3 linked regions of the Lepisosteus oculatus genome follow. The protein of the gene in region 3 purifies or fractionates together with the protein of the main gene of each other region. This does not show direct contact. Links are inferred from orthologs where the notes say so. Each region holds a gene or a part of one and is shown on either strand. Other genes may lie near its edges. The genes, in order: mtor, tnip2 and tnfaip3.

What was found.
Region 1: the proteins of tnfaip3 (region 3) and mtor purify together in Homo sapiens (affinity purification with western blotting, with the first as the bait; 3 studies listed by BioGRID). This does not show direct contact. The link is inferred for Lepisosteus oculatus from reciprocal best matches to the Homo sapiens genes TNFAIP3 and MTOR.
Region 2: the proteins of tnfaip3 (region 3) and tnip2 purify together in Homo sapiens (affinity purification with western blotting; 5 studies listed by BioGRID and IntAct, with this or other methods). This does not show direct contact. The link is inferred for Lepisosteus oculatus from reciprocal best matches to the Homo sapiens genes TNFAIP3 and TNIP2.

Annotation. Positions count from the first base shown.
Region 1 is NC_090720.1:2,864,025-2,871,212, reverse strand, and holds the start of mtor (serine/threonine-protein kinase mTOR), read left to right. Parts: upstream 1-4,088; 5' UTR 4,089-4,146; coding exon 4,147-4,182; intron 4,183-6,123; coding exon 6,124-6,285; intron 6,286-6,594; coding exon 6,595-6,703; intron 6,704-6,864; coding exon 6,865-7,097; intron 7,098-7,188. Other genes in the region: ubiad1 (ubiA prenyltransferase domain-containing protein 1), read right to left, coding at 166-653, 952-1,507. UniProt on the Homo sapiens protein: Serine/threonine protein kinase which is a central regulator of cellular metabolism, growth and survival in response to hormones, growth factors, nutrients, energy and stress signals.
Region 2 is NC_090696.1:72,662,177-72,669,332, reverse strand, and holds the start of tnip2 (TNFAIP3-interacting protein 2), read right to left. Parts: upstream 3,099-7,156; 5' UTR 2,668-3,098; coding exon 2,281-2,667; intron 650-2,280; coding exon 347-649; intron 123-346; coding exon 33-122; intron 1-32. UniProt on the Homo sapiens protein: Inhibits NF-kappa-B activation by blocking the interaction of RIPK1 with its downstream effector NEMO/IKBKG.
Region 3 is NC_090712.1:1,532,717-1,540,366, reverse strand, and holds the start of tnfaip3 (tumor necrosis factor alpha-induced protein 3), read left to right. Parts: upstream 1-4,582; 5' UTR 4,583-4,664; intron 4,665-5,206; 5' UTR 5,207-6,419; exon of another isoform or gene 6,420-7,195; intron 7,196-7,650. UniProt on the Homo sapiens protein: Ubiquitin-editing enzyme that contains both ubiquitin ligase and deubiquitinase activities.

The sequences.
Region 1 (7,188 bases), on a different chromosome or scaffold from region 3:
AAAGGGCAAAGAACAAGACACTTGTCCTATCTATAATAATTGCACGTCCTTCTCTGCACTCATTTGAATTAATGAAATGAAAGCCCTTGATCTTAATAACTCTATAACAAAATACCAACATAAAAAAAAACACGTTTATCAAAATCAATGGAGCTGGGGTGGGGGTTACACTTTTGGCAGGCTCCCTGGAGGTGCCAATATAATACCAAAGACATAGAAGAGTCCCATTAAGAGATTGAGCTTTGCAGTCTTTTGGGGAATCTTGGAGTAGCACTGGCTCCTGAACTGCTTCTCCAGGGGGAAGGCCATGGGCAGGGTCAGCAGGGGCAGCGCCATGCTGATGGTGCAGCGCGTGGCGAGGATGGAGAACAGGATGTAGGGCATGAAGAGCAGCAGGTTGTAGAGCATGTAAGACAGCGTGGGCCCGAGGAGAATGGCCAGCGTCACGATGCCCGCCTGCTGGTCCGAGTCCATGTCCCGCGTGTTGTTGCTGTGCAGGATGGCTTCAGTGTTGAGGGCCAGCGGAATGGCGTAGAGCAGGGGCAGGACGGAGAGGTAGCCCACCTGCGTGGCGTGGGCGAACATGACGGCCAGCGGCCCGAAGGTGATCAGGATCACGACGTCGCCCAGGGCCACGTACTTCAGCCCGATACCTGCGGAGGAGAAGGAAGAGCTGAGACCTGGGTTAACGCTCAGGAGCAGCGGGGACACGTGGCACGGCGAGGCAGGCACAGCGTGCGCCGCACCTGTAGCCACGGATAAAATAACAGGGTCCAAACCATCCATAAAGGCAAATTTAAAACTACTTCCAAAAAAACAGCTCGAGATTTTTTAAGCAGCAACATCTTTTCAAGTCACTATTCCACATCACGAGGATAAAAGTGTTTTTTTTCCCCCAAAAGGGAACTCATAAATGCACTATTGCTACATGACAAATTGTGGGTAATTCACCTCCGGTGTAGAGGAAAGAGCTCGACAGGCCTCCAAAATATATAAGAGCCAGGTGTTCCAGCTTCAGAGTGGACAGAAAATACAGGCAAGTTGCACACAAACATCCCAGGGAGTATAGAACCGCTCCAAACATGACTACATCCTGGGGCTCCAGAATCTGGTCAACCAGTGTCCGGTCATCACTCTTTTTGTGGTCAATCCCTTTGGAGAAGTCATAGTAAGTGTTCACCAAGTTTCCAGCTCCATGAACCACCAGGACGGCCACAGCGCTCACCAGCAGGATCACGAAGTCAAGGGAGCCCTCGGACTTGTAGGCCAGGGCGCCGCCCAGAGCTACCGGAGTCAGAGAGGCACTGAAGCTCCACGGCCTCAGGGCCAGAACGTAAGCAGCGCATTTGTGCTTCATGTCACTTGTCCTGCTGCAGGGTTTTTCCTCCTGGTGGTCCTGGACAAAAACATGTTCCCCCGGATCCCCTCCTCCTCCTGCGCTCCGCCCGTTCGGTCCCGCCAGGACAAAAGTCTCTGACGCAAAGCCGGGTTTCTCCCCCTCCGTCATCCCTGCACCCCGAGGATGAACACCGCCGCCGGGAAATAATCACACGTAGGGATCACCTGAAACAAAGAGCCCAGGGACAGAGGAAGGACAAGCAAAGAAATCACATGAGCAAGCTCCAAACACACTGCCCTTTACTTCTTGCCTCTTCACTCCAATTCTGGGCAAATTTAGATTTTCACTACTTAGAAATTACTGGCAAGAGCAAGTAATACTTTAAAGAATCTTCCTAATGGAAACATTTTGTTGTGTACCACTAAAAATACAATTAGAAAACGAGTTTTAGAGAACAAGCATGCATTTTAATATGATTTAAAAATTCTTGAACAATTTAAACTACTTTAGCCCACTGTATCCACATGAATACAAATTTAATAGATCGGAACAGATTTGGGTTTTCGGGTTTCTGCCCTTGCCACTCCCACCCCAGTTCATTCCTCCACCGCAGGGGCACGAACCCGGGACTAAGGCATCGCTCAACAGGGGTCTTGCCAGCTGAGCTAAAGAAGACCTTCCTCAGCCCAGGTGGCCAAGATCATTGTTGTGCACAGAGGCGTATCCATTTCAATATGTATATATAGGGACAAGTAATAGGTTTATTTCACGCTGAAAAGAGAAGAAAGAAAACACAACGTTTCGGCTGTGGAGCCTTCTTCAGGTGTAAGAAAGACAGGGCAGGCAGCAAAGATAATAGAGCCTGGGAAAACACAAGCCAGGAGAGAGGAGGTGGCAGGAGCAGGGGAGGGGCAGAGTGGCAAACCAAGTGGTGCGAGGTCGAGAGAGGCGAGGAGAGGTGTAAAATGAAACCTACAAATGAACAGAAACTTAGAATAAAACAAGTCTTTCGTTGAAAGAAAGGGGGAAGGTGTGAACCAAGTTTCAGAATCATTTTAGTTTCTGATGACTTTCTGCTATAGAAGTTAAGAAACCTTACTTTGAGAAGTATTAATATATGTATAGGCAAGTCAGTAAAGAATGCCACCCAACATCCTTATTCTTAATAATATTTAAAAAAAGGCTGCTTCAGTACAGGAATCTTAACTTTGGGATGAGCAATGCAATCAAGTTCACTTTTACTATATCCCCTACCGAAGAAAATAAAATAGCAAACGAACAGAGAAAACTATTTGCAAAACAAAGGCGTATTTGTATTTAAGCTACTGTACAAGACATGGACACACAAGCGTATTTCAAAGACATACATGTTGACTGAATACGAAAAATCTTATCTTTTGTATGAGGTTGTGTGAAAGTGAAACAACTACTCCTGAGTGCGTTGGAGAGAGGGGGGAAAAAGTTGAGCTACTTAGTTTCAGGTTAACCTTCCAAAAGCTAAACAAATGAAACGGAGATTGTTATCTGTGCACAGATTTGTGCACAAGTGTTTGACTAAAATTAAAACTAGGCGTTACATGTATTAAAGTTCTCGCTCTGCATGCGGCGTACACCGGCACGACAAATAAAATATCCCGCAACGTACCTGTTGTTTCTGGGTTTAGTCTCTCTAACGCGCTGAAAGTAGCATTCTTCCTCTCCGTCTTCTATAACCGTTACACGGGGACTAATCTTATTTTCGCTACGTGTCAAGTACGAGGATATTTCGTGCAAGCCCTCCACCTGGGCAGCGCCATCTTGTTCCACCGCCCCTTGTGCAACCGAGAAATGTGTCCGACTACCCATCCTGTACCCTTAGTCTCGGTCACCTATTTTAGCAGAACAACGATGCGGTTTTATTCCTTTTGAAAACAATGCCGGGGAAATAAATTATCTAGAAAAGGACATATGTCCCCTAAAGATTGCTCAGCGCTTGTGATCACGCTTAAATCAATCTTAAATCCGACATGTATTTCGGTTTTACTATGTTTTGTTTTCCCAATGATCAAAAAGTTGCTATTGCAGTCGTTGGGCAATAAATGCAATTTAAACATTGGGATTTTCGGCTGCCGCTTCGCTTTTACATATTGTCTCCGATGGCATGAGCGCTGATGTCTTGATTTTTTATTTTTTTTTAAACAAGATTCTTGCTTATATTAAACAGTTGCCATCCAACCAAACTATCCCACACGACAAATGAAAAACCAGCATCCTCAATTTCGTAAATAAAGGCCAAACGTTTTCACATTGGTCCTTTTCTGAAGTTGTTGCAAGTCAATGTTTCGTTTCATTGGATAGCGGGTCCAGTCAATCACTTTCGCGTGTTTTGAATGGGTAGAGTGGTTGTCAATCATCAAATTCTCTTATTTTCATTGGTCAAAATAGAAATCTCTCCAAGGTCTTGGGTCGCCCTCCCAAATTAGGTTGTGATAATCTGAGACTGGTGAGTACTGTTCTTCCTGACTGAAATTATGCGTTTGCTTGGATCATTAAAATAATTTGGTGTTTTTTTGTTGAATAAACGCCAGTTAATTGTGCTTATTGCACTAAGCCTAATACTCAGAGCCTTGGTTTATTTGCATTTAATGATGCGATGTCAGTATTTCAAAGAAGGCTGCTTCAGTACAGGAATCATTTAAGAAAATGCACGACATGGTTTGCTAAGGGACACTGTATTCGTCCACTTTGTCAAAAACGTTAATATCGTTTTAATTCATGCAATACGTTGTGCACCGAAGCCTTTCGTAACACAGTTTTAAGGACGATCGATGCATTTTTTTAAAAGTGTCGCAATCTCGCTTCAGGTAATATAGCCACTTCGTCTATCTTAGAGTATGTTACTATATAAATTAATTATTACTTTACTTATTGGCATTTTAATTCAAATTAGATTCATCATTACGTTATGCCGCTTTTAATACCTTCTCCCCTTGCTGTATATATAGAAAGTGGACCAAACAGGGTCTTTTTTCAGCGATTTGGTTATGAGCCTGAGGTCCGGCTGTGCAGCAGCAATACAAATTCATTCGTCCATTTTTTAACCGGTTCGTCCAGTTCAGGGTCGCGGGGGAGCTGAATCCCATCTCGGCAAGCACAAGGCAGGGTACACCCTGGACGGGACGAAAATCTATGGCAGGGCACCCACTCACACTAGGGCCGAGTTTCCCAGAAAGCAATTAATCACCGCTATGTCTTTGGATTGTGGGAGGAAACCTGGAAGCATGGTTAAGACATTTATTGCATTTACACACTGCCTTTTGTCCTGGAGGGTCAAAAGCACCGTATATTTTTCCCTTTTATTAAGGTTTATTTCTTGAGTTTTTCTGTAATGGATGTGGTAAATACTGGACTAAAGTAAGGATGTACTTTATCTAGAGTGAACTGGATTGCCAATTGTAACTGCCAATTACTTGTTGTTCCAAGACTCCCTTTGAGGACCCCAGATACGTATCTCTCTTCTGCTCAGGTTCCTTAAATTCCTCACAAAAGGTGTTATAAATGGTCATCTGCTTTTCTTCTATTTTTAAGCAGGAACTGTATAAGAGTTTACATCTGTCAGAGTGGCAGGGAGTGAGCACCAGAGTTGTTGAGCAGGGCATCTGAGAGGGTAGTTCAAGACCTGTAGCTGTAAAAAGTGCTGCTATAGCAGAGTGTGAAGCCCTGTTTGGTACCGTACACAGGGAGCAATGAGAGGTGTTGAGTATTTCACGTAGGGCTTTAAAAGTTAACAGTGAAAGTTTGAACTGAAAGTGCTGGGTAGCGGGGGCTTCAGTGAAGACGTGTCAGAATTGGTCACCTTTGAGCATGTTAGAAGTCAAGCAGCTGAGTTTTGGACCAGATGAAGTTTGTTTAGGAGTCAGGTAGGGAGACTAACCCAGCTGAGATGCGATGAAGGCTTGAATCAGGGTTTCTGCAGCAGTGCAGTCAAGAAAAGCCAGCGTGTCTGAGGTGACAGTAAGAGACTTTTCAGGTGTCTTTTATGTGTGTATCAAAACAGAGCTCAGGATCAAACAAGACCCCCAGCTTTCTCATACTTGTAAGGCAGTGATTAAATGAGGTGTAGCTTCCCTGGGATTTATGCACATCACATCAGTTTTTTCTTGTTCTGAATAATAGTGTTGACTAAAAGAAGCCAACCACAGTCAGAACAGTTCTCAGGGACAATCTTTTGAGTCGTGAGGGAATCCACAATCGTTGTAAATATTTTGGGGAGAAACAAGGCTGCCATTGTTTTTGTAGCATTTCAGGTTTCCAAGCTTCCAGTACCTGCAGAAAAGCCAGTACCAGTTTCTTCATGCCTGTTGTGTCATTTTCAGTCTGTCTCGCTTAGACCTCTTATGTGGAATCAAAATAATCTTAAGTATTTCGTTTTCCACTGCATTGACACGGTCTCTTGAAGATCTTCAACTCTTAAAACCAGAAATAATCCAACCACAGTGCAAAGGGACTCATTTTGTTTTCCTAGGAGCAGTTCCAAACATTTTACACATTTGACAACATAGAGATAACTGAGAATTGGTCATAAATAGCTCTGGTGCATATTTTTCCCGTTATTTCCCTTGAAATCATAGCAGCATATAAACAGCATCTTATGGGAAAATATCAATATAGTGTAAATAAGACAGTTCTATACCTCTAGTTTTCAGTCGATGAAGAAAATTCCATTTTCTGCCCCTTTTCAAAAAACAAAACCCCAAAATCCCACCTGAACCGCTGCCAGGAGTGTTGTTTTTTTTTTAATACAGTTGAACGGGGAGGTGGGCGCCCCCTGCTGGACAGCGGCCATCATGTCGGGAACGGCCACCGTCCTGCAGCAGTTCGTCAGCGGCCTGAAGAGCCGCAGTGAGGAGACTCGGGCCAAAGCCGCCAAGGACCTCCAGCACTACGTCACCACCGAGCTGCGAGAGGTGAGGAGACCCGTGGGGTCCCCACTGCCCCTTTCCCCTGCCCGTCACTGGGGGAGGCTCAGGGTGCTGTGTAGCACAGCGTGGTGCGTGTCTCAGTCCTGTTCGAGGAATGAAAGTGCTTTGGACCCAAGAGGGTCGAATTTGATTTATTGCTGGTTTGATTTCAGTTTTCTTAGCGGTTTACAGAATTGATTGATCAAACGAGTCAGCGCTGCTATGGTGGAGGCGGATGTGGCGCACTGTTGAAGGTTCGCCCAGCGCAGGAATGTTAATCCCAGCCCCTTTTCTCGTTGCCGCTGTCTCTCCCAGCTCAGCCAAGAAGAGGCCACCACCTTCTATGACGAGCTGAACCATCATATCTTTGAGCTGGTGTCCAGCTCCGATGTCAATGAGAAGAAAGGAGGCATCCTTGCCATTGGTGAGTCAGTCCTGCGATTTCTGTGTCCGTTCCCCAGGTTTCCTCGAGGAATGAAGAAAACCCCGATACTGACACTACCGAACAGTGTTGTCTGAAACGCAGGTCATCTTATTCCGTAATGGCTGCCGGTGCTGAGCTTCTGTGCCGTTTTCCTCACACAGTGAGCCTGATTGGAGTCGAAGGAGGAAATGCCACGCGAATCAGTCGATTTGCGAACTACCTCCGCAACCTGCTGCCCTCCAGTGACCCGGTGGTCATGGAGATGGCCTCGAAGGCCATGGGCCACCTGTCGATGGCCGGGGACACCTTCACTGCGGAGTACGTGGAGTTCGAGGTCAAGAGGGCTCTGGAGTGGCTGGGGGCGGACAGGAACGAGGGGCGACGGCACGCCGCGGTAAGAGCTTTGCCGCCAGGCCTTTTTTGGCGTTTCACCTCGCGCCTGGAGTGGGCTGCCGCTGGCCGGCGCCCACCCGCCTCGGACCTGA
Region 2 (7,156 bases), on a different chromosome or scaffold from region 3:
ATAACACAACAGGCTGAGCACGGCAGACTTACATATGCCACTTGCTGTTTCAGAGATTTGTTTTCTTCCTGTAGCCGGCAAATCAAGGCTTGAAGCTGAGCAGAATTTGACGAATCCGCACCCTGGAGAGATACAAAACAGGAAACCAAGGATTAGCAATCACAGTCAAGAACTATATAAGCTTTGCAAAGACTGGAATTGGTTTGCCTTATTGGCATTTTTTTCTGGCTGGGATAATGTTAACATTTCCTCTAAAGTCACGCGGAGTACATCAGTGGTATTACAGCAGGCTGAGAGCAGTGTATGATAAGGGGCTGTACGGTCTCTTTCTCTCAGGTTGAGGTACCTCTCTGGGCTGCTCTGATTGAGTGGCACTGCTGGTGGAGTCCTCCCTCTGCTGCTTCCTCTCCAGTCTCTGCAGTAGCTGCTGACACACGCCTACAGTGGCGCCCAGCTGGGCCCTGAGATTTTCAGCCTCCTCGGCGAGAGAGTAGCACAGGACCGCCCTTGTGGCCTGGACTCTGTCCTTCTCCGCCACGGTCTGCTGCAGCTGCATGATCTCCAGGTCCTTCTCGTGCTGGGGCCTGCTGGTGATTCTCTGGATTTCCTGCTCTTTGGCACTCAGCTGCTGCTGCAGTTCCTGAATCTCCTGAAATTCACGGAGAGTGGGGATTTACAGTTACAAGAAATAAAACGCTTGTTGCTAATCTTAAATAAAGAGTGGTTTTATCTTGAATACCTATGCTGTGTGTGTTTTTATATCTATTTAAAGCACATAATTTAAATGTTTTCCTGTCCAATGCAGACCACACACAGACTGGGGAAAAGTAATGATGAGATGCTGACCTTCAGTTCTGCACTGTACTGTATATGATCTTAAATTCATTGCTTACTAAATTATTTGAAATAAAGGAGGCTTTCTTTTATTTCTCAGTGTCATGCCCTTATCTTGCAGGAACTATATGCACAGAAGCTAGCTTGTTCAAACACCTTGAGAACATATTTTTTTTTGTCAATTGATCTACCTAGTGTGGTCAAATGAAGTAAACATGTAATGGCATATGTTCAACTAAGTCTATATGCTGTATCTACATCAACATATTTCTTCATCTAATCATGAAACTGTAAGAATACAGAATCACAGACATGAACATTCCCTGAAACACAACATGCTAATAGCATTAAAAAAAAACGCAGGACACTAAACTCAAAACAGTCCTTTTTTCAAAAATAGGTTCCATGCACTTTCTGGCATAAAGGGATGGCAGAGAAACAGAAGAAATCACCAAACGAATTAACAAGTAAAAACAAAACAACCAAACCAGATAAGATACTTTTGAAAACAACAACAAAACAATCTTGATTTTCTGTTTGCATTTACCCTGTTTACAGACGCTTATGAATGTAAATGATAACTTTAAAAACCATATAAACAAGTCACATTTGTTTCTAGTGAAAGCACCAGCATTGCCAATCGGTGCCTTCCATGAAATGATACAGCTCTTCCCTGAGAAATGCTCTTGGGGTTTGGAAAAACTGAGTTTTTCCAGCTAAAGTGGAGGTTGCTTGTTTTAAGTTTTTACTCTTCCGGTTTCAGTATTGCAAATGAATTATTTCGCTGAATGTCTGAACCTTTACGATATTGAGATATTTGTCTAAGGCACTAAAAAGACGAGCAATAGAGTTGAATTAAATTAGAGTTGTAAGCAATATAACACACACTCGCGTTCATCGCTAAAAGCTGGAAGACGTTTATAGAATGTGTAGTTCACTCAGCCGTTTATTTTTCGATTATAATAAAACTAGGTCAGCAGAGTCCAACCCAAGTTCAAAATGTGTACTTTTTAAATAATTACTCTAATTACAGTTGAGAAGTGCATTAAATATTGGACATAAATATAAAAAAATACCTAATTTTATTAACTATACCGATACTGTAATATAACCCAAATGATCTTTGTTCAGCGAGGCGGAATTGGAAATATAGCCGTAACCATTTGGCCTATAATGAAACTTCCTAACATCCTACATCAGACGCTGCAGAAATCCCCCTTTCTATTTGCGTCACAAGAAAATTACAATCCTTTTCAATTTACAGCGGCTTACAGTCATAATTAAATTACCCACTAGTTTAATATATATAGATATTTATTTTTCAGATAAGAAAAAAGGAATTATTACTAATAGCAGGGGAACCGCTACAAATAAAATGCATTTTATTGCAGTATTATAACATCTTAAGCAGCAGATGTACACATTATACACCAAGAAATCACTTACTAGTTTCATGTTTCCCAATTGCCGATCAGCGCTTCTTTCGGTCTCTCTCTGCTGATGCTTAAGTTTACCGATTTCTTGACACAGGTTCTCGAACAAGGATTTAGAAGGTCCAAAAACCAGAGGTTCCTCTCCACCCATATGAACCGTCGTGTTTTCGTATGCGGCCAATCTTGTCTTCAAGTCAGCAATGATATTGTCCTTCAGGCACATCTGGTGGCTTAACTTGGCGATTTCTTGATTCGTTTCGTGGTAGAACGTGTTTAAAGTATTGTAGCTCTGTAGTTTTGTTTTGAGCGCCGCGTTTTCTCGCTTTATGCTTTCCATCAGAGAATCAGCTTGGTTGTATCCAGCGATCGGGCGTTCTGCGCAACCTGAAAGAGCCGACATCGGATGTCCCTCCGCTAATCCTCCAGCATTCCAGGTTAAAATTCGCTGTGTTCTTCACTTGAGACGCGCACTAACTTTTTATTCGACTGAGGGCTCTACGAACATCTCCCAGAGACAAGGGTCAGCCGTATAATAGATCGGTACATACAATTTCGAAATAATATTCCAGTACCTACTGGGGATTTCCTTCGGGACTTCCCCCAGTCGCATCGGCGGACTTTTCTTGTACTTTTCTTTCTTAGCAACTCTGAGATCCTTCAATGACTGCTTCTTTTCCGCACCGCTCTGATTAAGCTCTTCTGGTAACTTCTGGTAAATGTATTAATGAAAAAGATCAAGCGCTCCTGACTCCTTTTCTTAATGAAACCGTTTCTCTCTCTTTTTTTCCAGTAGAATGTATCTAGCCATGTCACAGAGTAAGACTACTTCTGCACATGCGTGAGATGTTTCCGGTTATAGACGGTAAACTTGTCTGGTGAATTCGTAACACCTCTTTTTTAATAGACTTTGATCATTCTGGATTTTTTTTTTCACTTTGCTACACACGGTTGATATACTCGGGACAATTTCTAAGTTTCTCACTTCATGGTTTCTTACATAACGAACACTTTTTTTTAAAACAAAAATGAAAAACACAGCAGACTTTTAAGAAGTTTTTTTTTACAAGTGTTTTCCCCCCCTTGTGATTAAATGTTTCTTACATGTCGCGTTACCAATTAAACAGTACCGACAAACACTCAATATTCGTAGAATTGTCCATCGTGTAATGTTTTTATTTTGTTTTTATTCTTTCCTTAAGCCTCTTTGCAGCCAGTGGGCTATTCATATACATTATCCTTAAAGATGGCTGCTGTTGCAGTTGTGTTTTTTTGTACTTTCTGATGCATTTGGCTCAAGAATGTTTAAATGGAAAATGGTTTAAAAATTACAGAGACCTGGACTCTTTTACCATCTTTGCAGATGCGAAGCTTCCTTCTACTATACTGTAGCTCTCTAAGGAATCCCCTTCAATCTTCTGATGGGCTTGTGTGACTGGAAATTAATTTTATTGACAAATGTAAGTCTGTCCTTACAAACAATAATCCTCACAACCACTGACTTGTTTTTCTCTGCTGTACCTGCAGTGGGAAATATTGGCTTGGTCATATGGTTTTGCGCGCTAAGTGCTCCTGGCTTTTAAACAGCCAACAATTATCAGTATTTTGCGAATATTCACGATTGTTCAGTATACAAGGGGCACTTGTATCCGTCTTCTTTTTATAAATATTTGTCACTGCGCAGTGTTCACTGTTTATGTAATATTTCAACTGTACTGATGATTTTTACACCTGGATTTGGAGAGCCAAAGGGCCTTCTGGAATTCATTAAATCTGAGATTCTAATTCAAATTGATTGATTGGACAGATAACTCTTGAGTCAATTAAAACCAAAATTCTCTTATATTGCCGCTGTTTCCAGGTCTTAAGTCAAATCAATATTCTAATACCCTTTTAAAATCTACAGAGTTGTTACTCTTCAAGACTGGGAATGTGGATCACTGAGTTGCTGAATGAAATCAAATGTTTTGCGTCAATCCAGCAGTTTTTACTAAAATACAGTAAATATCAAATATGTATTCTTAGGAAGTGTATAACATTCTATTTCAATGATGAATTCCGCAAACTTTGTATTGCAAAGTAATATATGGTACAAAAAAATCTTAAGTTCACCTGCTTAAATTATTTTAAATACTAGTAATAAATAGATTAATGTTGAGATGATTATCTATAATTCACAATTCACACAGAACATTGGATCACAGGTAGAGAAAATGATGCTTCCCAGTACAGAACATACGCAACTGCAAAGAAAAATGTACCCTCATCTTAATTCTGTGGGGTATGTCACATAGATGTTGACTTGTAGTATGATCTACAATAATAACACCGACCAGAAGGGATGTTTGATACCTCATTTCAACTTTAGGCAAATAGAAAACTGACTGGATGTTTGAAGGAGGTTAGGGAAAAGAGATAGGTTACTGTTAAAATAGCAAACTAGACATTTCCTGAAAGAACCAGCTGTGAATTATATCAATACTGTACTGAAGTATTACAGTAACACGTATACAGTGCCAAAAAATTGTCAAACCTGTAGGCTGATCCATATTCTCATATATATTATACAGTATATATCATACAGCGGCAGTGACTTCAATTACATATTTCCTGTAACTTTTTATCAGTCTCTTGCTTGAGGAATTGTGCATTCTTCCATATACAGCTGCTTCAAAAGTCAGTAACATTTGAGGGTTTCTTTGCTTAAACAGTTTGCTTCAAGCCCCTGCCATAACATTGCCTCGGGATTTAGATTCAGACTTTGACTTGGCCAATCCAAAATGTGAAATTACGTACCTCTTCAGTCATCTTGTTGCAGATCAGCTTGTGTATTTAGGATCATAGTTCAGGTGGGCAGCTGCGTCAGCATGCGTAGGCTGCAAAGGAACAAGTAATAGGTTTATTCCATGCTGAAAAAAAGAAGAGAGAAAACAGAACGTTTCAGCCATGGAGCCTTCTTCAGGTGTGAGCTCACACCTGAAGAAGGTGGCCACACCTGAAGAAGAGCTCACAGCTGAAGAAGGCTCCACGGCCGAAACGTTGTTTCTCTCTTCTTTTTTTCAGCATGGAATAAGCGTATTACTTGTTCCTTTAGGATCATAGTCTTACTGCATGACCCACTTTTGGCTCAGCTTCAGCTGACAAATAGACGGTGTGATACTCTCCTGCAGAATGTGCCGATACAACAGCAGATTCCCAGTTCCATCTATGATGGCAAGCTTTGTGGGTCAGACAGTGTTTGGTTTTTACTATTCATAACATTTTTCATCCATCCACCCATTTTCTAACCATCTTATCCAGTACAGAGCTGTGGGGGAGCCTATCCTGGCAAGCAGTGCGTACAACGCAGGCCAGCACTATTCATTGGGGCTAAAGGGCTTAAGCTCTTGCAGTAGTCTTGTGCATGGTCCGGGTGCTCTTTGGCCAACTTGAGATGGGCAGCAAGTAAGGATCAATGCCCTCTTCCTGTCTGTTGTCCCAAGAAAACCATTCCAGTTCAGTCTTTTCTTGATAGTTGAGGCCTGAACAATGATATAAGCTTCAGTGAGGCCTGGAAAGCCTTAGATGTCACCATGGGCTTCTTGGATGGTTTTCTGAGTGGCTCAGGGAGCAATTTGCAGGATGACTGGAGCTGGATAGGGTCATTGTTACATTTTTTCATTTGTAGACTACAGTATCTGTCTAACAGTAGATGGATAGAGTCCCAAATGTTTAGAAGTAGTTTTGTAACTGTCTCCAAAATGATAAGCATTAACTACTAATTTTCTGAGGTCCTCTGAAATTCCTTTAGATTGTGTGTATTTCCACTATCCTGTATTGAGAAGACCAAACTCACAATATTTCCATCCATTGTAAACTGTAGGATAAGGTGGTCCAACCTTATACTTAAAGACTTGTCATCCATTTATTAACCACATCATTATAATTATTCCCTTAATTGTAGTACTTAAACTTTTCACTATTTCACATACATGTACACTGATTCTCAGTTATTCATCTACAGTACGTTTTACTTCATAAACTACTATACCAGTTGTAATTTAAAAAAGTTATTATGGTGATAGAATTTATCATCATGGTAAGAAATTGAGATGCTAATTATAATAGTTTGCGTTCACAAGCCTTTTCTCGGCACAGTAATAGTATTAATAAACTTTGTAACTCTGCCAAATTCCTTAGTCTAATATGACTAAATTACTGATAAATGTAATGATTCTTCCGTTAAAATAATTACAAGGAAAAACAGGGGAGAAGTTCCATTATTAGAGGAACCTGCAAGAGGCTCATGTGAAACCTAGTGCCCAGTAATTGAAAAGACGCACAGTCAGGATGAAAGTATTTGTCATTTTGAGTACAATATGCAAAACAAGCATGTGTATTATGAAGAGTACTTAAATCAAGAAGAAAATACATCAATCTATCCTAAACACGATTTGGCACATTAAGTCTGATTTTATTTTACTTTAAATAAGATTGCATTGCAAACGTGACATTATGCATAGACATAAGGAATGTTGCAAAAGTCTGGAGAAGATCATTTAGCCCATGTACCTCATTTTTCGGCTTGTAGTTAATTAAACTTAAAATGCAACCTGGCCTTTTCTTCAAGAAGGTTTCCTGAGTTAGTTTGCATTTGTGTTCTCTTCTTTATCCTGTTAATGCCTTTAAGGATTCTGACTATGTGAATCAGGCCCTCTGGATGTCCTCTTTGGTCAGGGGTAATGGACATTCTAATATTTAGGTGGGTAGCTGCGTCAGCATGCGTAGGCTGCAAAGGAACAAGTAATAGGTTTATTCCATGCTGAAAAAAAGAAGAAAGAGAACACAACGTTTCGGCCGTGGAGCCTTCTTCAGGGACAGAAAGAGAGGCCAATCAAGAGGTGTGTTCTCCC
Region 3 (7,650 bases):
TTACAGTTCTAGAGGACACTGAATACATCTAAGCCTTGGATGGTACAGAGCAACAGATCACCAACAGATGCACCAGTGTGCAGATGTTTCTTAGAAAACACTGGAAAGCGTCTCTGGAGTGTTTAGGTGCAGAAAGTAAAACTCACTTTGCATCCCACTGGTTCCTACATGGGAAGTGCATTTCTCTATGTGACCAGAAAATGCTATGATTTCTGAAACAGACATCAAAAGCTGCAGTTTTCTGGGAGAAGCCACGTTTATAATAATAATAATAATAATAATAATTGCTTACACTTATATAGCGCTTTTCTGGACACTCCACTCAAAGCGCTTTACAGGTAATGGGGACTCTCCTCCATCACCACCAATGTGCAGCCCCACCTGGATGATGCGACGGCAGCCATAGTGCGCCAGTACTCTCACCACACATCAGCTCTCAGTGGGGAGGAGAGCAGAGTAATGAAGCCAGTTCAGAGATGGGAATTATTAGGAGGCCATGATTGGTAAGGGATAATGGGAACTTTGGCCAGGACACCAGGGTTACACCCCTACTCTTTTCGAGAAACACCCCAGGATTTTTAATGACCACAGAGAGTCAGGACCTCGGTTTTATGTCTCATCCGAAGGACGGTGCCTGTTTACAGTATAGTGTCCCCGTCACTATACTGGGGCATGAGGACCCACATGGACCGCAGGGTGAGCACCCCCTGCTGGCCCCACTAACACCTCTTCCAGCACCAACCTTAGTTTTCCCCAGGAGGTCTCCCATCCAGGTACTAACCAGGCTCACACCAGCTGAGCTTCAGTGGGGTGCCAGCTGGGAGTTGCAGGGTGATATGGCTGCTGGTTTGTCCTGGATCTCTCATGGATAGTGTTCAGCTTGAATTATTTAGAGAATGAATTAGCGGGAAGGGAAATCCCTGACATTCAAATACGGTGCAAGAAAGGGAGCAATCAGCACTGCAGAGAGCCCCCAAGGAAATGGTTTCTCTATTCAGAAGCAGTAAAAGCAGGACGGTGATGCAATGATAAGGGGAACAGAAGAAACCACAGAGAAAGAGGAAATAGAGTTGATAGTACCTTCTAATAGCTGCGTCTAAGTGTGATTGCATACTACATCTCACAATGGCTTAAGATAGCATCACCACATCCCTTTAGATATGCCTTAGATAACAGCATAGGTGCATAAACGAGTTCAGTGTCTCACCTTGAGAAACCCAGGAATAACGTACGTTTTTATTCACATAATTTACTTTTCCTCCCTGTCATTAATGTTTTCTGTCTTCTTTCACTTCCTTTAAAAACTCAAACTCCACTCTACCTGTGAATCAGAATGCCGGGGACAGTTGTGTCAAAGTCCCTGCCATTCAGTGTACGAGGCTGAATTGCAGGCAGGCAGGCAGCTGCAGGAAATCCCCAGAACAGCGCTTTGCAATGCCTGAGGTGCTGAGGCTTCTCTGGAGTAGGTGCTGTGCTTTTTGTGCCATTGGGTTCTGGTTTGTTTGAAGAAATGAAGAAAGTCAGTTTGTGGGCCCTACTTCTGCTGCTCTTTCAACAGTAAAATACTCTTACAGCACCCATTCTGTTGAAAGGCACACTAATGTCACTGACAAGTACACTGACCTCTACTGACTGAAGAAATCTTCAGCACATGGGTATCGTGCACTCATACTGCATATTTACTGCATACCCTAACACCTGAAGAAGGCACCACAGCCGAAACGTTGTGTTTTCTTTCTTCTTTTTTTCCAGCATGGAATAAACCTATTACTTGTTCCTTTGCAGCCTACGCATGCTGACGCAGCTCCCCACCTGAACTACTACTGCATATAGTGGCTATTGTATTGGTGGGTAAGTGACTACTATAGGCAAATACTACAGGAGCAACAACTGACATGCAAAAAGATGACATTCAAGACTGGTCAGACACCTGGCACAAGACATTTAACACAGAGAAGTATAGGGTATTAAAAGCAGGAAGCAGAAACATAAACTACAAACATAAAGTGAGAAATACTGAGCTGAAGGGGCTTCTTATGACAAAGACTGAGGTATTTATGTTGACACATAATTTGCATCTTCTCTTGACAATGTGGGGAAGCTGTAGAAACAGCAAGCAAAACACTAGGATACGTTCAAGTGTTAAAAGTGGAGAATTTAAATCAAAGACTGTTTGGTTGAGTCTGGAGCTGCAATCCAGTCTGTAATCAGTCCATTGAAGAGCAACACCAGATACATTCAAGGGCATTCAAGGAAGCTGAACATTTTTGGCATTGAAAGAAGACTGCAGATTCCAGACCTCATCTGCAAGGTTGAGAGATGTGTGCAGACAAGGCCATATGTGGAGTTACAAGATCTTATGACAAGCATTGTGAATTTTATATCTTAGACATATTTGTTTTTTGTAGACACAAAAATCTTTACAACCCTTTTAAATGTCAATTTTATTCATTAATCATTCATGAACCATGATTATGTTGTAGCCCCTGAGGTGGATATTCAGTCAATGTTTATCTATAAAATATGCAAGATAAAGATGTCAAACAAGACAAATGTTTTTCAATTTGATGGAATTTTTCCTATCTGATGAAAATGCCTATGCATATTATAAGCAAAAACAAAAATACATTTTATAAGGGAGATACAGGGACAGCACACAATTGTAATTTAACATTATTTCCTTTTTGTTGACTTTCATGACAAAGACTGAACTATTCGCTTAGTGTTGCTCAGAGGAATAAATAGTTCAAAGCCCAGAATCTTCATTTCCTGTCACCACCTTGCTTTGTCTAACTTTAAAATGAAAATGGAACAATACTGATGCGATAGCAACGTGACAAGGGAAGTTTCAGTCAGCCTGTACCTTTGAAGTCCCTGCCCTAACTTCTCACCACAATTCCTTCCACCTTTCACAATGTTTTGTAAGCAGGTATGCAACACTTTCCACTCACAAAGCCAGTCAAATAGATGCACTACAGATGTACTGTTTGCAGCCAGATATTAATTTATTTCCAGAATCCAGGGAAACTAACACCTCCTGTGTGGTAGCTGAGGTCTGGAGTCACTGTAATTGGCTGATGTAAGTGTGGATCTGGCTTTGATTATAAGATAGGTTACAAAGGAGAAGAGCCCATTTAGATTGCTTGGACACTTTGCAGAAGTGGGAGTATACAAAACTTTCTTGATGTTACACAGCCATTGGTCTAGGGGAGAAGAACATTATTCAGTACATTAGTCATCATTCAGAAATCCGTCTGTTTTTTTTTATCCCGCGTTTCCGATGACTTCCTGACCCTGTCCCAGCAGCGCAGCAGGAGTCGGCTCAGGGCAACGGCATGCCTCCCTGCGCACACTGCGTGTGGGGGTGTGTCCAAGCATCCAGGCCCACCCAGGGTGTTGGGAGAGCCCACGCCCCCCACACCCAGTGAATCATTGCTGAACTCCCGTTGGACAGCTGTGAGCAACCCTTGATTACGAAGTTGTTGTGGGAAATTGTTCATCAAAGGAGCAGGATGTTCATCAAAGGAGCAGGACGCAGTCCAGTGCAGATTCAGTTTTTTAGAGCTCAATAATGTCGAAGAAAACTCAGTCTTCACTCAGGTTAGGAGATTGTCAAACACAGATCTTTAATACAATCAGCTGAAGGGGAGCATATCACAGAGAAAGGGTTCCCCCTAGCACTCAAGACATGCTCACTTTACTGAAGTTATACTTTCCTTTTTATACATTAAAAGTAGGCAAGACTTTAACATATCAAAGGAACATACAGGGAAAGGGGCAGTGTCAGAAGTCAAACAACCAGGACAGGAAGATGGCATTTGGCATCCTGCAGTCTGTTTCACTTCTCTCTGGTTGAATGGGTGTGAGGAATCACAGGCTTTAGTTTGCACCTAAGACAGTGGTCTTAGGTGCGAACAGAAAACCTTTCCCACGCATAGTCACTGTCTTGACTTTCTGACTCGGTCTTCCACAATAAGGACAGCAACACAATCGTTGGGTCTGCAGTGCAAAACAGACCTGTCCTTTAATAAATAGTTTATGTTGAACTACTTTGTCCTGTCCTTTGATATCCAGCAGGCATTGATCTGCTTTATCCTGTTTATGGTACGTTTATGGCTGTTGGTCCTGCATTTTGTTATGCTTTGTTATGCAGCGCAAGTTGCTCAAGCAAGCCAGCTTTATTGTATCTTAGCATAACCTTTGGTGAAGGCTAAATTAACAGATCCCAGCAATACTTTCCATGGTGTGGTTAAGTAGTAATACTGCAATGGTGGATACATGTACGTGCAATATTAACATGTCCCACTTTACATTGATTTGTGATGTTGAGCCTGAGGCAGCACAGCTCCTGTTCCTCTGCAGGGACACCAATAAACACCCGAAGGGACTGAGTTCAGGCTTCATTGTTGCCTGGCTACGGTCTTGGGATGAAACACGTTGTAAGAGCACCGCCCCAGCAGGGACCACATTCCGCAGACCCCTCTGGGGAAGGGGCTGCTCGCACAGTCACCTGACCAGCCGCAGGAAGGCAGGTGACTACAAAACAGGAACAGGAAGCTCTCGGAGGCTGTCTGTGGGCGTGGCTGTCTGCTGCTCCAGGACAGCCCCTGCGCGTACTGTACGTCTCGCCAGCGGAAGGACCGAGCAGGGAGCAGAGCGACTTTGTGAGTTCAGGGAAACGAAACCGAATTTTGTGGATTTTTGGAAATTTTGTGTAGAGTGTTGGAGGGACCGTGTTTGAGAATTTTCTGTGTTAGTGGCCGGTCAGCAGTGTAGCTGCTCGGCTTATATTAGACGGGGGCTTCATGAAGAATTTTAAGCAGAAGCTCGATGAAGAGCTGAGACTGTTTTGCTTTTGTTTTTAGGTGATGGTGTTAGGCGTTTCCCCGCCTCGTAAAATAAATTGCAACTCGGGCCTTTAAACGTTACAGCTGGGTGTTTTTGTGTGTTTTGTTGGCCTGAACCTGCCTGTGTTGAAAGATCGCGTTTTAAACAGTCACACCCCTGGTTATGTCACATTGCAACAGAAAGAAACTGCCACACAGCTCCTACAGAGACACTTTACCTCGGCGAACAGGTTGCTGATTTTTTCTCTCTCGGAATAGAATTTGTTTTAAAATTAAAATGATCATTTCATGGAAAAAAAAAAGTTGTTTTGTTGTTTTGTTGTGTAAGCTTCTGCCTGACTGAAATCTTCTTTTTATAGAAACTTTCCACAAATCAAGAACAAAGCAGAATTCTCCCCCTGGCAGTCCCTTAAATCATGGCATTATTTCTGCCAGAAAAACACAACCCCAAACCCACAGGAGAAAGGGAAAGTACTTTTAAAACTGAGGAAAGAATGCCGTTCTTTACACTAAGGGTGGTGAGGGTCTGGAACAAGATGTCTATTAGCTCTTTTGTTGAATCTTGATGTCCTGGCTTCTGTAAAAAAATGGTGGATTGAGATTCTCAGATCATTAAATCAATTAGATCAATTCAGATCAATTAGATACTAAAGAACTAGACATGCCTTATGGCCTATTCTCATTGTTTTCTTATGTTCAAGTCTAGCTATTAGAATGCAAACCCAAAAGGGAGATAAGGATTCTCTCTGTGTTACACAATATCCTGTGTGAGGTGTGAAAGTGGCTGGAGATGAGTTCATCAACACTCACAGCAGGCACAAGGGCCTCTGTCCACAAGGTGCTTTTCCTCTGATCATCACTCCTCGGAGATCAAGTGACCATCTGCTAGGAGGAGCTCAGTGAGCCCTCCAGGCATTGAAGAAGACTGAAGCTGAACCCGAAAGAGAGAACAGGGGGCCTGGCTGTTTTCAAAAACTGGAGGAAGTTCACTGGCACTTTATTGACTTCAAGCTTCTCCTTCAGATGGGGGCTGTGGAGTAACACTCATCCCCCGCAGAGTCTGAAAGACCCTGACACATTTCATCTTCAGTCTGGGACGTCCCTTTCTGTACAGATCATAAAATAATTTCCCTCAGCCTAACTCCTGAAAGCACCACACTGCAGAAGCGCATGCTCGCCACTCTGGTGCAGCAAGACAGAAATACAACTCCAGATCTCCCCAAAAACGCAGTGTGTTTTTTTTCTGGTATTTACGCCAGAGTGTGGAGGCCTACTGGATTTTTTTTTTTAAAGCTCGGGTATTTACAAGGATGTCTGAATCCGCCTGGCAGAATCCTGGTGACTAGCCAGCCAGTAGGAGTCGCGTCTGGGAGGAGACAGATTGAGTGATGTCCTGAGGGCTTGTGGGTTCTGCCTTCTGATGCCCTCCCCCGCTTCTAAAGGAGCAGAACAAGTTGCTGATACTGATCTAATAGTACAGTATGCGTGTGTGATCAGCTGTCTTTTTCGTTACCTTTCACTGCTGCCAAATTCGTACACGCTCACCCGAAGTAAAAGTGAAATATACAGTTTGTACGTATTACCCTTCTGAATATACAAATGTTGCTTGACTTCTGTTTTAAGGAAGACCGTTGGATGGATAGGAACACTTTTGCCGGGAAAATGTCATTTTGTTTTTGTGCTTTACAAAGCAAGCGGTCTTTTAATGCCTAGAATATCAGGGTGCTAAAATATTTGACTTTTTTATAAAACATCAAACTTTCAAAGGGAAAAGACACCATTAGTGGGGTTTTTTCCTTTACAGATACATTACGCATGCAGTTTATACTATTAAGAATAATGTGTTTTTCTTTACCGCTGGGCGATACTTTAGGTCATAACATTCCCTTAAAAATGAGCAGGGACTTCAAGATCTGAGATCATGCGTTGGTCTATGAATGGTCTGATCGTGTCCTTATGTAAGGTTTCTTTATGACAACAGACCAGCTTTCCAGAGTGTCTGTCTCTTTCTCCCCCTAGCGTTCGATGAGCGTATTTTAGTACCTCTAAAATTGTGCAAGCTTAAGTGGAAAGTCCCTCATACTGGAAATCCCCACCCGGGCTTTTCCATGTGAAAAAAAAAAGTCTCTAACTTATCTAGAGGTCGTTTTTTTTTCTTGTTTAGTTGACAAGTCTCTAGCCTGAGTGAGTGGAGCCTGAACCAAGAAGCAATCATACTACCCAAGGGATATGAAGGTTTAATGGCGTTTGGGACTGTGGGTTATACAGTCTAGAGCTTGGGGTTCAGGGTTACCTTTTTGTACAGTACAGCATCGAGGAGTTTTGTCTGTCCTAGATACATTGTAAAGGTAAGTTTTGGTAGCTTTTAAAATATTCTGTTCCAGTTCATTCGTTCGTTGCCGTTGAAACTGCGCTCTTGGTCGCGGTTACTTGTGTTAATGGTGTTAAGTGTTGTCAGTCCGGCACAGTTCTTATCCATATATGTGAATGTTTGTCTGATTTTTTTAAACGCACCGGAGCGATAACGCCAGTTCTGTTCACAAACTTCAGTCTGCAGTTAAACCCCAGACACGAGTGCGTTTTATGAAAGACGTGGTCTGTGAACCGGGCTGTAAGGGAAGATTGCTACAATTGCATTTTTATATATAACCCTTATAGGATCATGTAGATCAGTGCGTTTCCACGCGTGCACATCGTGCGGCACACTTTCTGGTGCCTGCTGTCACTAGTTCAGAACCGATTGCTATAACCATAAAGACTTCTTCGGATTATGGCTAGTTGTGTTGAAAAAAATGTTGCGGTC